Linked DNA regions of Oryctolagus cuniculus. The protein of the gene in region 2 purifies or fractionates together with the protein of the main gene of each other region. This does not show direct contact. Links are inferred from orthologs where the notes say so. Each region holds a gene or a part of one and is shown on either strand. Other genes may lie near its edges. The genes, in order: AKAP9, PRKAR2B and CDK5RAP2.

What was found.
Region 1: the proteins of PRKAR2B (region 2) and AKAP9 purify together in Homo sapiens (affinity purification with mass spectrometry; 3 studies listed by BioGRID and IntAct, counting the BioPlex papers as one, with this or other methods). This does not show direct contact. The link is inferred for Oryctolagus cuniculus from reciprocal best matches to the Homo sapiens genes PRKAR2B and AKAP9.
Region 3: the proteins of PRKAR2B (region 2) and CDK5RAP2 purify together in Homo sapiens (affinity purification with mass spectrometry; 3 studies listed by BioGRID and IntAct, counting the BioPlex papers as one, with this or other methods). This does not show direct contact. The link is inferred for Oryctolagus cuniculus from reciprocal best matches to the Homo sapiens genes PRKAR2B and CDK5RAP2.

The regions. Positions count from the first base shown.
Region 1 is NC_091447.1:43,774,858-43,779,985, reverse strand, and holds the start of AKAP9 (A-kinase anchor protein 9), read left to right. Parts: upstream 1-1,628; 5' UTR 1,629-1,714; coding exon 1,715-1,762; intron 1,763-5,128. UniProt on the Homo sapiens protein: Scaffolding protein that assembles several protein kinases and phosphatases on the centrosome and Golgi apparatus. Required to maintain the integrity of the Golgi apparatus. Required for microtubule nucleation at the cis-side of the Golgi apparatus.
Region 2 is NC_091434.1:137,198,683-137,204,029, forward strand, and holds the start of PRKAR2B (cAMP-dependent protein kinase type II-beta regulatory subunit), read right to left. Parts: upstream 3,112-5,347; 5' UTR 2,949-3,111; coding exon 2,633-2,948; intron 2,481-2,632; exon of another isoform or gene 2,259-2,480; intron 1-2,258. UniProt on the Homo sapiens protein: Regulatory subunit of the cAMP-dependent protein kinases involved in cAMP signaling in cells. Type II regulatory chains mediate membrane association by binding to anchoring proteins, including the MAP2 kinase.
Region 3 is NC_091432.1:224,487,482-224,492,599, forward strand, and holds the start of CDK5RAP2 (CDK5 regulatory subunit-associated protein 2), read right to left. Parts: upstream 3,054-5,118; 5' UTR 2,865-3,053; coding exon 2,809-2,864; intron 1-2,808. UniProt on the Homo sapiens protein: Potential regulator of CDK5 activity via its interaction with CDK5R1. Negative regulator of centriole disengagement (licensing) which maintains centriole engagement and cohesion. Involved in regulation of mitotic spindle orientation.

The DNA.
Region 1 (5,128 bases), on a different chromosome or scaffold from region 2:
AGTCTTGGCGAGATAGCATCTTCTTGGGGAATGACTTGAATGAATAAATTATATAAATGACTGGTATGATATGACATGAATGGACAGGTGTCAAATCACTAGTGCCACACATTTGCCCTTCCTCGGGTTCACTCCCCAACTGACTACAAAAGCTGGATGGGAAGCCGGGAGCCAGAGCTGCTTCCGGGTCTCTCCCGTGGGTTAAGGGACCCAAGCACTTGGGACATCTTCCTCTGCTTTGCTAGGCCCTTAGCAGGGAACTGGAACAGAAGAGCAGCAGCTAGGACTGGAACCAGCGCCAGGTGGGGGCTTAACCTGGTATGCCAGAGCACCCCCCTCCCACCTTTTCCTTTTTTAACCCCAAGTTTCACTGAATATCACCAATACGTTGAACTCGCAGCTTGTTTCCACTCCTGACAGTTTCTCAGCCCAACCTCACTCAACAAAGGAGAGGGGAACTCAACATCAGTATTCAACCTAAGACAGGATCATTTGTATTCACTCTAGGAACGGAGGGTTGGCGAATGGGAGGGTGGTGAAGGGGGCAGGAGGAGGATTGCGGGGCCAGGTGAGTGGAAGAAACGGAAGAGTAATGATCAATTTATAGACGTGACCAGTCAACCCAGCAGTATTTATTCGGAGCAAAGCCCTGTGCTAGTCGTTTATTAATGCCACGGTGAGCAGGATCCATGAGGGGGTCCGTGCCTCCAAGGAGCCAGGAATATCAGGTGACCTAAGAAGCACGCAAGCCAACAAAACGCGTGCAGAGGACATCAAGGAAATTCGAGAAAAACGGCAACCGACATTAATTCGGGGCGATTCGGTAGGCCAGGGGCAGTCACAAAGATGACCACCCTTCCCCAATCCCAGGACAGGTAACGTGTGTCGTGTCAGGTGGTGCGCCCGGGCTGGGTCCCCGAGAGCACCGCTGCCAGAGGCCCCAGCGAGGCTGGATGGGAGTGCAGGTTCAGCAGGAGCCCTCCCGGGGGCGGGGGGCGAACAAAGACAGGAGCCGTGTGCGTGCAGGCGGAGGCGTGCGAGGTGGGCCTCGGAGGACCCGGCAGCCTGGGCGGGAACCGGCGTGGGCCAGGGGGCGGGACTGCGAGGCCAGGGAAGTCACCGCCGCAGTCGCCGCTCTCCCGGTTTCTGGCGTGGAGGAGTCCACCTAGGTTGAAAAGCCGGGGTCCGGCAAGTCTCTCCCGCCTGCTGGCCACTGTGGCTGCTCAGAGGTCCTTCATATCTGATGGCTTCGTGATTGGAAAAACCGCTCTGTTTGAAGAGCGCCGAGTCCCGCGCACCGTGGCGGCACTGCTGGCCGGCGGGCGGGCGGCCCTGGACACCGCTCCCGCCTCAGCCCCGCCGCCGCCGGGAGCCGCCGGGAGCCGCCGGGCCGCGGGAGGACGGCGCGGGCGGGGGCGGGGCCGCGGCGCACCTGCCCGGCGCGGCGGCTGCGCGGACCGACGTCCCCCCCCCCCCACGACGCCCGCCGAGTGTTTACGTGGAGACGAAGATGGCGGCGGCGGTGACGGCGCTGGCCGTGCGGCCCGGGACGAGCCGCCAGTGAGCGCGGAGGCTGCTCGCGCTCCGGGCGGGGCCGCGCCGCGCCGGGCCTGCTCGCTGGGCCGCGGAGCTCGCCGCCCCACCTCCGCCTGAACCGACCTTTCCTGTCTCCCCCAAACCCCGCCCGCTGCTCCGCCGCCTTCCCGCAGAGGCCATGGAGGACGAGGAGCGACAGAAGAAGCTGGAGGCCGGCAAAGCGAAGGTAGGAGAGGCGGAGGCAGCCGGGCCCGGGGAGGGAGGCGGCGGCTGGGCAGGGTGGGAGGGGGCCTGGGAGCGGAGCTGGCGGCGGCCGGCGCGCGCTGGCTGGCGGGGAGCGAGGTGCCGCGGCCCCGCGTTTCCCCCTCGCCCCTTGTTCCAGTAGGGGCGAAGCCCGGCGCCCCCTCCTCGCCGCCGATACTTGGGTGCTGAGTGAACGGCGTGGCTGCTTTCTCGTAAATGCCCAGGGCTGCCGTCAGCTGGTGTTTAATTGCTCCCGAATCTCAGCCTTTCACTTTCTTCAGGGGGTGTTCTGGGCGGTGCAGGCGTTGTGCTGCCCAGCGAGGAGATTCAGGGCTTCTCCTTTATTTGGGGGGGATTGGCGCGCGGCCGGCGGCTCGCCCGCCTCTCTGGCACGCTGGCACTCCGGGGCGTGTGTGATTGGCCTGTGACAGCTGCCTCGGCAGTGGCTCGAGTGTGCCACAAGTGCCAGCTGTGAACTTGGCTGCAGGGGCGTTGACAGAAGCGTGCCTTTGTATGTCTGTCTGCGGAGGTCTTTGTCGCGGCACCGAGGCTGTCTGCATGGAACTTCTGGGAACCCAGAGGTTCTGTGTTCCAAGTGACACCTACAGAATTCCTGCTTTGAGTAATGTCGTTGTCCTCTGTGTAGCTCCGGTGAGCCGCTGTTTCGTGTGTGTGCGCGCGCGCACGAAAAAGCCTGTAAAGCAAACAATACAAAATCATACACAGGTGTCATTCCTTGGGCTTCATGAAAAACTTGACACGAGATACATTTGAATAACCTATTTCTTTTAAACATTGCGTGTTAGACGTGTCTTCTGGTTGGCCCCAAAGGACCCCTTCTTCTTTACAACGAAATGACCTTTTGTAGGTTATCTGCTAATCTCTGTAGAGGTAATTGTCAGCAATCATACTTGGACTGCGGTTAAATGGTAGTGTAGTTAACTGTTTCTCCTCTCCGCCTTCCCTCCCCTCCCCCCACATAAACAAAGGAAACCGGGGCCCTGGCTGCAGTCCTCCGGGAAGGGCCACCTGCAGAGGTGCAGCAGGAGAGTGCTCATCCCAGGTGTGTCTGCCTGCGTGTGTAACGTAGCAATGCAGTGGGCTTTGCAGGAAGCTCCCTCCGCCCGAGGTCCAGGCTCACAGGTAGCCAGGTGGACTTTTAGAATCTGTACATGGAGGGAAGGGGAACAGGGCACCTTCCAGAGCCCCCAAATTGCTTACATTACACAAACCCCGTGTGTCCCTTGAGGGAGGTTAGCTGTGTGCTGGCTTCCAGAAGCACTGAAGTTCTAATCTGTCTGGCTTGGGAATTTTTACTGCTTGCCCCCAAAAATGTCTTTCCTAAAAACATGTGAAGCAGTCCCATGAAAGGTGATTTACTTTGGACAGACATATATCATGATAGAGGATTTAATTAAATAGTTGTAAGTAGTTGATTTGGCAAAATGGAGTTCTGTATGCTCTAGCGGTGTGTGTGTGTGTGTGTGTTTCAAAATTCTACCAATGGAGTAATGTTAATAGGTTAACTTGTATTTCAGAAGTTTATCTTCTTCTGGAGTTAAGCCTGCTTTTCCCAGTGAGAAATCTGTGAAACGTATAAGGCAGGATATGTTTGGGGCCACATTAGCTCTGCAATAAAAATACCGAAATAAGTCTTGAGAGATGATATGAAGAGACTGGCTTTCTAAGATGTATAAATGCAATGGAATAGTATGCAGCCATTAACGTTATGAAGACTAACAGCATGGAAGATAGAATGAAAATGGCATCATCAAAAATAGTCTATAAATTATTTCCTCTCTATATAAGCATGTGTTTTAGTTAGGACTGAAAAACATTGGGTTCTTTTTTTTTTTTTTTTTTTTTTTTGACAGGCAGAGTGGACAGTGAGAGAGAGACGGAGAGAAAGGTCTTCCTTTGCCGTTGGTTCACCCTCCAATGGCCGCCACAGCCGGCGTGCTGCGGCCGGCGCACTGCGCCTATCCGAAGGCAGGAGCCAGGTACTTATCCTGGTCTCCCATGGGGTGCAGGGCCCAAGCACTTGGGCCATCCTCCACTGCACTCCCTGGCCACAGCAGAGAACTGGCCTGGAAGAGGGTCAACCGGGACAGAATCCGGTGCCCCGACCGGGACTAGAACCCGGTGTGCCAGCGCCGCAAGGTGGAGGATTAGCCTAGTGAGCCACGGCGCCGGCCCAAAACATTGGGTTCTAAATGTAGTCATTCAGCACAAGCCATCTTGAACTCCCATGTTATGCCAGGGGCTGGAGATATAGAGGTGGTGACAATCTTTTTTCAAGTTAGATCACAGTGTACCCTAGAATGATACCTATCAGTGAATGCTAAATAAATGAAGAGCAGAATGACTAATGAGTTGTTAATGGGTGCAGCTTTACTAGTATGGTTATAGTTTAGTAACAATAGGGGCCAGCGCTGTGGCATAGTGGGTAAAGTCGCTGCCTGCCCTAACGACATCCCATACGGGCACAGGTTTGGGTCCTGGCTGTTTCACTTCCTATCCAGCTCTCTGCTATGGCCTGGGAAGGCAGAAGAAGTTGGCCCAAGTCCTTGAGCTCCTGCACCTTCATGGGAGACGTGGAAGAAGCTCCTGGCTCCTGGCTTCAGATCGGCACAGCTCTGGTAGTTGGCAGCCATCTGGGGAGTGAACCAGCATGTGGAAGACCTCCCCCCCCCCCCCCCGCCTCTGCTTCAAAAGTAGCAATAATCTGGAATTATCATAATTTAAAGATTTCATTGCTGGCATCAGAAACCACTTAGAATTTTCAGTTTCCAAAATTTGTTGAGAGATTAGATTCTTCAAATGTCTCATTCGTTCATTAGATTTACATATTGCATTTGGTAATGTTTTTATCTCATTTTTTTTAAAGATTTGTTTATTTGAAAGGCAGAGTTATATATAGAGAGAAGGAAACAGAGAGAGACCTTCCATCTGCTGGTTCACTCCCCCAAATGACCACACAGCTAGGCTGAAGCCAGGAGTCTGAAACTCCATCCAGGTCTCCCATGTGGGTGACAGGAACCCAAGCACTTGGGTCATCTTCTGCTGTTTCCCAGGTGCATTAACAGGGAGTTGGATCAGAAGTGGAGCAGCCAGGATTCAAACTGGTGCTTGTATGGGATGCCAGCGTTGCAAGCGGCAGTTTAACCTACTGTATCACAGTACTGGCCCTGATAATACAGTTTTTTTTTAAAGATTTATTTATTTGAAAGGCAGAGTTACATCAAAAGAGAGAGAGATCTTCCATCTACTGGTTCACTTCCCAAACAGTCACAGTGGCCAGGGCTGGGCTGGTCCATGGCCAGAAAGAAGCTTCTTCCGGGTCTCCTAT
Region 2 (5,347 bases):
GTACTGCGGAAAGCTCGTGGAGTGCGCGAGTTGTGGTACAGGGGGTTAAGGCTGCCACTCAGGACACTGCATCCTGTAGTGGATTCCTGGTTCTGCTTGGCCCCTGAGCCAGCTTCCTGTTAATGCACCTGGCAGGCAGCAGATGAGAGCTTGGGTCCTCCAGTCCCTGCCACTCACCCCAGAGTTCTGGCTGGGATGTCTGGCTCCTGGCTTCCGCCAGCGCATTCAAGGAGAGAACCAGTGGATGGAATACCTCTGTCTCTGTCACTCTGCCTTTCAAATAAATAAGTAAATCTTTTAAAAGATAAAACCCTTTTTAAATTTTTATTAAAGATCTTACTTATTTATTTGAAGTCAGAGTTACAGACAAGAAGGGTGCGACAGATCTTCCATCTGCTGGTTCACTCCCTAGATGGCCGCAATGGCCAGGGCTCAGCCAAGCCAAAGGTGGGAGCCAGGAGTTTCTTCCAGGTCTCCTACAAGAATGGCAAGATCCCAAGCACTTGGGCCATCTTCTGCTGCTCTTCCCAAGCCATTAGCACGGAGCTGGATCACAAATGAGCAGCTGGGATTCCAACCAGCGCCTGTATGGGATGCCGATGTCACAGGCAGTGGCTTTACCCACAGTGCCACAATGCTGGCCCTCAAATATTTTTTAAAAGCTCACAGAAAAATTAAAAGTATGAGATTACCTCGGAAAAAAAATTGAAATCCATGTGCAGTTTTTTTATAATAGGCATTTACAACTTAAGAAAAAAAATTTTCTTGCACAAAATAAACTCATACTTTGGGTTCTACTTTTCCATAATTTTTTGCAATTCTACTGGGTAACGATCAAGTTGTAGTTGCTTGCAGTCAAAAAGTTTTAAGTTCCTTGGGGAAAAGTCTGGGAGATAAATGGTACAATGGCTTAACAGGTATTTATTAAAACCCATATTAAGCAATTTTTACAGTAAAGGTGCCCGGGAGAAAATAAAACTACATAAAACGGTCCCTGCAGTTTAGAAGTTCATGGCTTATTTCTTTATTGCAAAATGAAAACTACGTATGTGCTGTGCACACTATACAGTAATGTAAGGAGAAAACATTACTATATAGTAACACTATATAGTAATGTAAGGAGAAAACAAGGAAGCATCAATGCAAATACTTTAAAAGCACACAAACAAAATATACTAGTTATGTTCGCAATATATGATATAGATTCTTTACCAAGTCCCTTCGTTTCTTCTAATCTGGGAAACGAGCCCTTTTTTCCTTCCTGTGTGTGCACGTTCATGTGGACATGCGTGTGTATGCGTGTGTATGCGTGTGTGCACGCCTGCACTGGGAGCATAAAAGAAGTATCTGATGCCTCTGCCCTTTCTATGTCATCCATTACTGGCTTCTCATCTATTTAAAACATGCATTCTTTCATCCTGCTCTCCTTTCTAGCAAGAAAAGCATTTAATTCTTATGCAAAAAGAACAATTAAGACAATGATTATCCTATCCTGGAAAACGCTAAAAAGTAGAAAATCAAAACCTTAAGTGCCAATGTTTCCTTTTATCTCCACAAAGCACTAATTTCCAGGGGTTTGAGGGGCTGCTTTGCACAGGCTCAAATGCATGACTTTACAACCCATTCCAACACAAGGAAATGAAAGGACACTTTAAAATGTTTTTTTCTTCCACCCAGACGAAACCCGCTGCCGACACACAAACCACAAGCAGCGCACATAAATAAGAGCTGGTGCAATGCTGCACGCACGTTTGCCTCACACCACAAAGAGGACGGTACATTTGCACACCGAGGTGTGTCAGCTTAGGATGCCATAAAGAAGGGAGATGTGTGTCGATGCGAGTGTATCTGCGTGTCAGGGAGAGAGCGTTGTAAGCAGAAGGGGTGGGACTTGCCAGGAGCAGCTATTTGAGAAAATCCCTCTTTCTTCCCCATTCATTCTTTCCAGCTTTGCTGCCTGGCACGGTCCTTACAAACACTCCCTGGCTTTTCATCCTAAAGAAACCGACAAGCCTTCTGAACTTCCCAGGGTGGTTTCCACACGCGTTATTTTATTATTATTTTAAGCACTGAATCATTCAATATGTGGTTTATACTTAAAAAATAAATAAATTTTTAAAAAGCCGGTCTTCGGAAGACCCTGTGGATTGCAAGCTAAAGAGATTCCTTTGTTGTGTGTCAACTAGAAAATAATAAATTACTCCGTTTCCAGGAATGCCGGCGCGAGAACCATAAATGTGGATCTACCCTCAGCGAGTGCCAAATTGCTTGCTCCTCACGGGAAACGCTGACGACGGCGTCCGCCTCTCCTCCCTGACACCCCCAGGAGGACCCCGAGAGGGCCAGCTTCCTTCACGCACCGCGGCACCCGCCCAGCCCAACACCTCGGACCCCGGCCCGGGAAGCCGCGCGCCGCCAGCTCCCTCCTCCAGACGGAGGAGGGCGAGGGGGAGGGCACGACCAGAGAGCAGAGGAGGAAGGTGGGCGAGTGGGAGAAGACAGAAATGGATGCTGAGGGGGTGGGCGCGACGGGAAGGTAGGGGAGGCGGGGACACGCGGGGGAGCCGGGCTGCGGCTTCACGCGCAAAGCCGGCAGCGGCGCGGGCAGCGTGCGCGGAGGGTCGCTCCTCACCGTTGAACGCCCCTGCGTCCGCGGCCTCCTCTTCCTCCTCCTCCTCCTCCTCCCCGTTCTCGGAGTCGGAGTGCGCGGGCTCCTCGGCGAAGTTGACCCCCTTGCTGGGGGTGCCGCCCCCGGCGGCGGCGCCCGCGTCCCCCCAGGTCCTGCCCTCATGGCCGAAGCGCGCGGCGCCCTTGCGCTCGTTCTCCTGCTGCAGGCGCGTGAAGTGCTGCAGCGCGAACTCCAGCAGGTCGGCGGGCTGGTGCCGCAGCACCTCCACCGTGAAGCCCTGCAGCAGCTCCGTCAGTCCCGCCGGGATCTCGATGCTCATCCTGCCTCCGGGGCGGCGGGCGCCCTGGCGCCGCCCTCGCCCCCTTCTCCGGTCCGGCCTCGGACCCCGCGGCCACCAAAGCTGAGCGCCGACGGCGCGGGCGGCTGCGAGCGCGGCGCACTGGGCCCCGGCGGCCCGGCTGGCCCGGCGCGCGGCTGCTCCGTGTGGCGGCGGCTGCTGAGCGAGCGCGGCCCCGGGAGGGCTGGCAGCATCTCGGGCTCCTCCCGCTCCCGCAGCGGCCGCGCCTCTCCCCCGCCCGGCGCCCCGCCCTCGCCTTCGCCCCGCCGCCGCCGCTGCCGCCGCCGCGCGCGCCCACGTGATCCCCGGAAACCATGGCAACTGCGCGGGCTGGAGGGCGGGCGGGCGCCGAGCTCCCGCCGCTCCCACCGCCGCGGGGCTGAGGACGCCGGCGGGCGCCGGCGCGCTGGCTGGCTGGGAGCGCGGCGCCCGCACGCGCCCGGGGCGTGGGCCCCTGCGAGGCCGCGTCTCGCTCCGCTGGTGGAGCCGCCGTGCGGGGCTTCCCTGGGGGCCGGCGAGTACTCGGATACCTCGGCCTCCGCCCACGGCAGGCGTTTTTCCTCCCTCCTGGCATCCAGTTGGGTCGTCGTGTCCGGTGGGAGACTGGACGGAGAGAGGCTCCCCGGTTTGGGGGGCATCCTTCTTGTTCTCTCACGCGTCCGTTCATCCTTTGCCGGGGCGGTCCCGCGGAGCGCGCCGTGCGTTTCCCGAGACACTTGGCAAAGTTGATGGCCTGCGACCCGGAGAGTGCAGCAACTTGGATAAAATGCCGTAGTCCAGACAGGTAGTCCTCGAGCGGGAGGAAAAAAGCGGTGCTGGATTAGTCGGTTCGTGGTTATTTTAGAACTTTCCCTGTTGCTTTGGTTTGCCATTAGGTCTCCAAGACCTTCAGTATTTCAGTATAAAGAGAAATAGGGCTACAGGTGTGTAATTTTAAAGTACAGCTCCTGGACTCGGAAAGATCTAACGTCTACAGTTCAGAGGAAAGAGGATTGGTCTTTTGTCCATGAAATATTATTTCAATGCCCACTGTTCATTTTCTGCGATGACCATATTGTAAAAATAATTCAAGCAAAATCACTTTTTTCTTTTCTGTTTTATTCACTTTTTTATTCTCCTCCCCCCCCCAACACAAAACAATAAATACATTTCCCAGGAAACTCAAAAGGCCATAGATGAGAGACGAAACAAACTAATCCCTTTTATAAAAATACACTTTTGTTTATGATCCGCCTTCTATTTACTCCATGAGTGAATGTATTTTTCCATTTCCATTTCTTATCAATTTCATACTAATGTTTTTAAGTGTAATAAGTAACTTTTAGCTATAGGCATCAGGCATTTTAACAAATAAAATACTGCAATCCCCGTGTGCCACTTCTTGGAACACAATATTAGTCAGACTCGGCGGCATAAGCATTATTATTTTTACAGGTCCAGTAATCTAAGATGGATTTGTGTCTGTCTGCATTTATAATGATGTTTGTGTTGATTATAATTTGCATTACTTGCATGTGGCAGAAAATGTAGTAGCTTAAACACGATCAAATGTCGTTTCTCTGTGATCACCAGGGCCCAGGCTCCAGCCAGCTCTTTGCTCACTCATCCTCAGTTTGTGCTCCAGGATGCCTGCCGCCCTGCAAATCGTGTCAGCCACATTTCAGCTATGAAAAAAGTAGGAAAGAGAAGGCAACCGTCTCTCCCCTCCCCAGACACTGACCCCGTAAGACAATCCGGGAAGTTAAACATAACCAACTCCTCATCTGTCCTCTGGGCCAGATTCCTCTGCACAGCCCAATGTGCTCTCCTTGCCGTTCCTCCATCAGGAGTTGAAGTCTTGCTTCCCCTCCCCAGGAATGTGAATGGGTTTCTGCATGCTTTTGATGAACAAAACAGGACAAAACTCCTGCCAGCCCTGTGCTAGCTGCCATCTGAAGTCCAATCCACAGAATACATGAGCAAAATTAAAAGGTTATTTTAAGCCTCTATGTTTTAGAGTAATTTGTTGAAAACACGTGGCTATTAGAAAAAAAACTTTAGGGGGCCAGCGCTGTGACGCAGCGGATTAACGCGCTGGCCTGAAGCACTAGTTTGAGACCTGGCTGCTCCACTTCTGATCCAGCTCTCTGCTATGGCCTGGGAAAGCAGAAGATGCCCCACATCCTTGGGCCCCTGCACCTGCATGGGAGACCCAGAAGAAGCTCCTGGTTCCTGGCTTCTGATCGCACAGCTCCAGTTGTTGAGGCCAATTGGGGAGTGAACCATCGGATGGAAGACCTCTCTCTCTCTCTCTGCCTCTCCTCTCTCTGTGTAACTCTGACTTTCAAATAAATAAATAAATAAATAAATCTTTTTTTAAAAAAAGTTTAGGAATGGAATCT
Region 3 (5,118 bases), on a different chromosome or scaffold from region 2:
GGCTCAATGTGAGGAAGGACAAGGCAAGACCAAGGGTGACAGATTCTGGCAGCCAGGTATAAGGTGAAGAGGAGGAGACATGGGTAGGGAATTAGAGAGAGAGGAGGCTAGAGAGGCACACCGGGCCAGACCATGAAGAATTCTGGAAATCACGTTAAAGAGCTTCATCCTGATGACAGGGAGGAGCTGGGGAAGATGCAGACAGATTAGCTATCAGGAAGTGTGCAACACCCTGGTCCTGCAAAGGCAGGGAGAGGAGGGAAAGGAGAGTATTTGCTATTCTGTTGAGTAAACTCATTTTAATCCTTATGCTAATCCTGGGCTTAGCACAAACCCATTTTATAGATGATGAAAATTGAAGTTAAAAGAGGATGAGTGACTTATCAAGGTCACAGGGTAAAGTAGCAGAACTGGGATTCAAACTGAGCTAGGTCTGGGTCCCAAAGCCAAGTATTTGGTCAACCAGCACTGAGATGAGAGTGGCGCCAGCTGAGAGAGTAATGGGCTTTATCCTCATGGCAATAAAAAGTGTTCAAAGTACTTAGCAGCAGACTGTGGGGATCAGATTTATATTTAATAGTTTTCCAATCCAGTTAAGAAATGGGCAAAGGACTTGAACAGGCATTTTTCAAGAGATAATACAAACGGCCAACAGACACATGAGAAAATGCTCGGGATCACTAGCCATCAGGGAAATGCAAATCAAAACCACATGAGGTTTCACCTCACCCCCAGTTAGAATGGCCCTCATAAGAAATCAACAAACAATAAATGCTGGCAAGGATGTGGGGAAAATGGAAACCCAGCTCACTGCTGATGAGGATGTATTTCAATGCAGCCACTGTGCTAGGATGGAGATACCTCAGAAATCTAAATACAGACCTGCCATATGACCCAGCCATCCACTCCCAGGAATTTTCTCAAATGAAATGAAATCTGCGTATCAAAGAGTGATCTGTACCCTCATGTTTATTGCAACTTATTTCACAACAGCTAAGATACAGAATCAACTCAGATGCCCATCAACTAAAGACTGGATAAAGAAATTATTCTATATATATACTATAGAATACTATACAGCAGTTAAAAAAATGAAGTCCTTTCATTTGCAACAAAATGGATGCCACTGGAAACCATTATAGTTAGTGAAATAAGCCAGTCCCAAAGTGACAAATATCATGTTTTCCCTGATCTATATAACTAATAGAGTACCTAAAAGGTAATCTATAGAAGTAAAATTGACATTTTGAAACTTGATATTTGTTTACAGGCCTTTACTGTTGAGGAACAGTGCTTTTTTTCTTCATACTATTTGTTGAACTCTTCACTTAGTTTAGGGTTAATCTTATGAGTACAAAGTTAACGGAAAACAGATATTTGTAAAAATTAAGAATAGGAATAAGAGAGGGAGGAGGAAGAAGGGTGGGAGTGTGGGCAGGAGGAAAGGTCGGGGAGGAAGTATTAGTATGTTCCTGAATCTGCATATAGGAATACATGAAATTTGTATACCTTAAATAATTTTTTAAAAAGCTAGCCATATTCTAAAAAAAAAAAATAGAGTTTTCAAGCTGTAGTATTAACAACTGCTGGTGGTTAAAGGAAGCCAGAACAGTACAGGTGAGAGGCAGTGGTAGTAGTGGTGGTTAAGATGAAGAGAAGGGACATAATGAACTTCCACAAAGATCTGATTAGGCAAAAGCTGCAAAGAGCTTTGTACGTGATACACAGAGTACGCATCTTCCAGATTTGCCCAGGACACCACCGCTGGATTCCTACCTTGCTGTTCAGGCACACATACTGACTGTGCCCAAGTTACTCTTAAAAGCATCCAGTTTACACATTAAATAACAATTTCATTCACTAAGAATCTGTTGAGCAAAAGCAGCAGCCTGTCCCTAGGAAAACTAGGTAAGCAGTGTGGGTTCCGTCAGGACTCTCCTCCCCTTCCTTCCATCTACTCTCCCATCAGGACCCAGGTACAACCCGAGACCCAGCCCAGAGCAGTCTAGGACCCAAGCAGAACCTCCTGCCACAGAGACCCCAGCCCCACCAGCAATGGGGACTTGGAAGGCCACTCTCAGCCATTAGTCCTCAATCTCCATCACTACTGATCATAGTAAGGACAATGGCAACACTAGAGCATTTTTTCAGCACTCATTGTATGCCAGGCACTAACTACACTTGCCCAGTGAACTGCCTCTTTCAATCTTCACCCCATTCTGCTGCGTGGATATTAACACCGGCCCACTGTGCAGATGGGAAATCAGATTCAGTCACTTTACCAAGGCCACCAGATGACTACTTTATAAGTCTGAATTTGAATCCAGTTCTAACTCCAGCCAAGGAACTTAAACACTGTACTTCACTGCTTCCATCCTCCGTCGCGACTCTGTGACCTTAATAAGAAAAGTCTGGGCGCTGGCACTACCTCCCCCACGATGAAAGCAAACCCGTGCCCAGGGTGAGCCATCAAACACCCTCAAGACCCCCGTCCCACAACCAGCCCCCAACTACTAGCATACTCCAAGTGGTCCCCCTCGGCCTGCTCTTTCAGAAAGCCCCTTAACCCGGCTTTCACCTCCTCTTCCAAGAGCGCCCCAAAACAACAGAAGCGAGTGTGGGGCCAGTGGGGACCCCCACACGATCAACGCAAAGCCTCCCTCCGTAAAATAACCTGAAGTAGGCAGGCATACACACACACTGCCCGGGACCAAACACTCCAACACCCGCAAGAGCAAACCCCAGGGCCCCATCAGCGGAGAGCCCAGCCTGATGACCGCGAACCCCCTCACTGTGCCCGGGCCGCACCTGCAGCCGCTGAGCGTCCCAGGGAGGCTGACGTCCTCTTCCAACACCGAGTCCATAGCGGATGAAAAGGCGATGGTGGCGCTGGTGCCTGTGGGGGCGGCGCCACTGGTTGCCCCCGCTGTGGCGACCCGCCCGTCTCCCCCGGTCCCCGCCCCCCTTCCAACCCAGCTCTTGTTCTGACTCCCGCGGCGCCGCTGGAATTCAAACCACAGCGGCCGCCATATTTCCCGGCGCTTCTTCCTGCGGAAACAAGGCGGGGCCACGGACGCGCGCTGTGAAGCCAACCTGCGGCGGCGAGAGGCAGGGCAGGGAAGCGGCAATGGGCGCCATCTTAACTAAGGGCAGAACGTCGGCGCTTTAGCCCATAAAACTAACGAAAGAGAAGGAGCTGCCATTTTTTATGAGGGCATTCCCGCAGGAGCCCGCAGGTGCCATCTTTGTTGAGGGCAAAAACTGACTGTGGTCCGTTAGTTTAAGCGGGAGATGGGAATACAGTTCCTATGGGAACTTCAGAGTTCCTGAGGCGGTATTTGCTTTTCTAGAATGATGACTCTTTGGATCTGTGTCTCCAAAAGGCTCCCACCCATATACTAAGATGCTGATTCACTTTAGAAAAATCCTACCTGTGGAATCCTAGTTGTTTGCACACGTAGTTTGAAACAAATGGTTCCTCCCTCCGATACAAGGGGTCAGACTCCACTCCAAGCTCGCACTTAGTGGTCCTTTATTACCATTACTACTAAAACGCGCCTGCAATAGCTAAACCAAGGCTCGAAAGGAGTGATTCCCCCCTTAGTAATATGCACTAAGTCTGTGAACTGGAGCCAGATCCGTGGCTCCTGCCAACTAAATGAGGACTCTCCTGAGGCTGGCATTGTGCTACAGCAGGTTAAGCCCACCTCCCATATCAGAGGGCCCACAGAGTGCCTGATTCTAGTCCCAGCTAGTGCACTTTCAATCCAGCTTCCTGTTAATGCATGCCCTGGGAGGTAGCAAGGTGATGGTTCAAGTACTTGAATCCCTGCCACCCACCTGGGAGACTCGGATGCAGTTCTTGGCCCAGCCCTGACTGTCGTGAGCATTTGAGGAGTGAAAAAGCAGGTAGAAGATCTCTGGCAGAAGATCTCTCCTCTCCTCTCTCCTCTCCTCTCCTCTCCTCTCCTCTCCTCTCCTCTCCTCTCCTCTTCTTCCCTCCTCCTCTTCTCTCCCCTCCCTCAGCATTAGTGAGGCTTTCAGAGCCCAGCCTCTGCACTTGTCCCTCTTCCTTCTGCAGACCCTCAGTGTGGGGAGCAAACCGGACTAGACTGAGTTACTGGAATTAAGACTTATTCTATGCATCTGCTCTCCCACAATATGGCGCTGGGAGAGAAGTAAACAGCTTCCGCACAGCTGCCTCCAGTTCAGCCAATAAACTGTAGGACTTGCTCCTGATTGGAGGAGAGCAGCGTACTCGGCGTGTGGGCAGCCGAGTTGGGATTGGCGGAGGAGGACTATAAAGGAGGAGAGAGACGGCATGCACCAGGAACATCTATGGGGAACATCTAAGGGAACCCGTGCAGCCCCCGAGAGAACCGGCCGGCGGTGTGCCGCTCCCCTGCGGAAGTGGGGAATGCGGCCAGGGGGAACTGCCCTTCCACGGAGGTGGAAGGGATAGTAGCCAACCCGGGAAGAACCAGCAGCAAACCCGGGGAGGGCCGAGCAGACGAAAGAACAGCGCAGGGTCCTGTGTCGTTCCTCCACGAAGAGGGGGAGCGACACCTCAGCCACCACCAGAATCAGTCAACAGCAATAGCCCGAAAGAGGGAGTGGGCTTGGCACCCGGCATGCACTGCCCCAGGGAAGGAGCGGTCCTTGAAGCCCCAGAACCAAGCCTCCTGACCACTGCTAGATTCAGTCCAGATCAGTGTGTCCGAAAGCAAGGCGGTGTCAAGATTCCCACCCTGCCCCTCTAGATGACACTGTCACCTCGGCAGACCACTTCTCTCTGGATCTGTTTCCACATATGCTAAATGAATGGGTTGAACTAACGGCTCGGGATCTTACAGTGCTGGCACTGATTTTCTCTTTCAAAGCTGCTAACACAACCAACCCTTTTCTGATGAGTGAAGCTGAGTTACAAATCCTGTCTTTCTAAATGAAGAAACCAACTTTGCACCCAGCACATGAAAGTTCTTGGGTGGGGCAGCGGGGGGTGGGGGGAGGGGTGACAAAAGGAAGAGGACTCACACATCCTGAGCACTTTATGAGTCAGGCAAGTCATACGCACTGCCTCATTTAACCCTCCAAATGCCCTTCCGTAGGAAGTGCTGC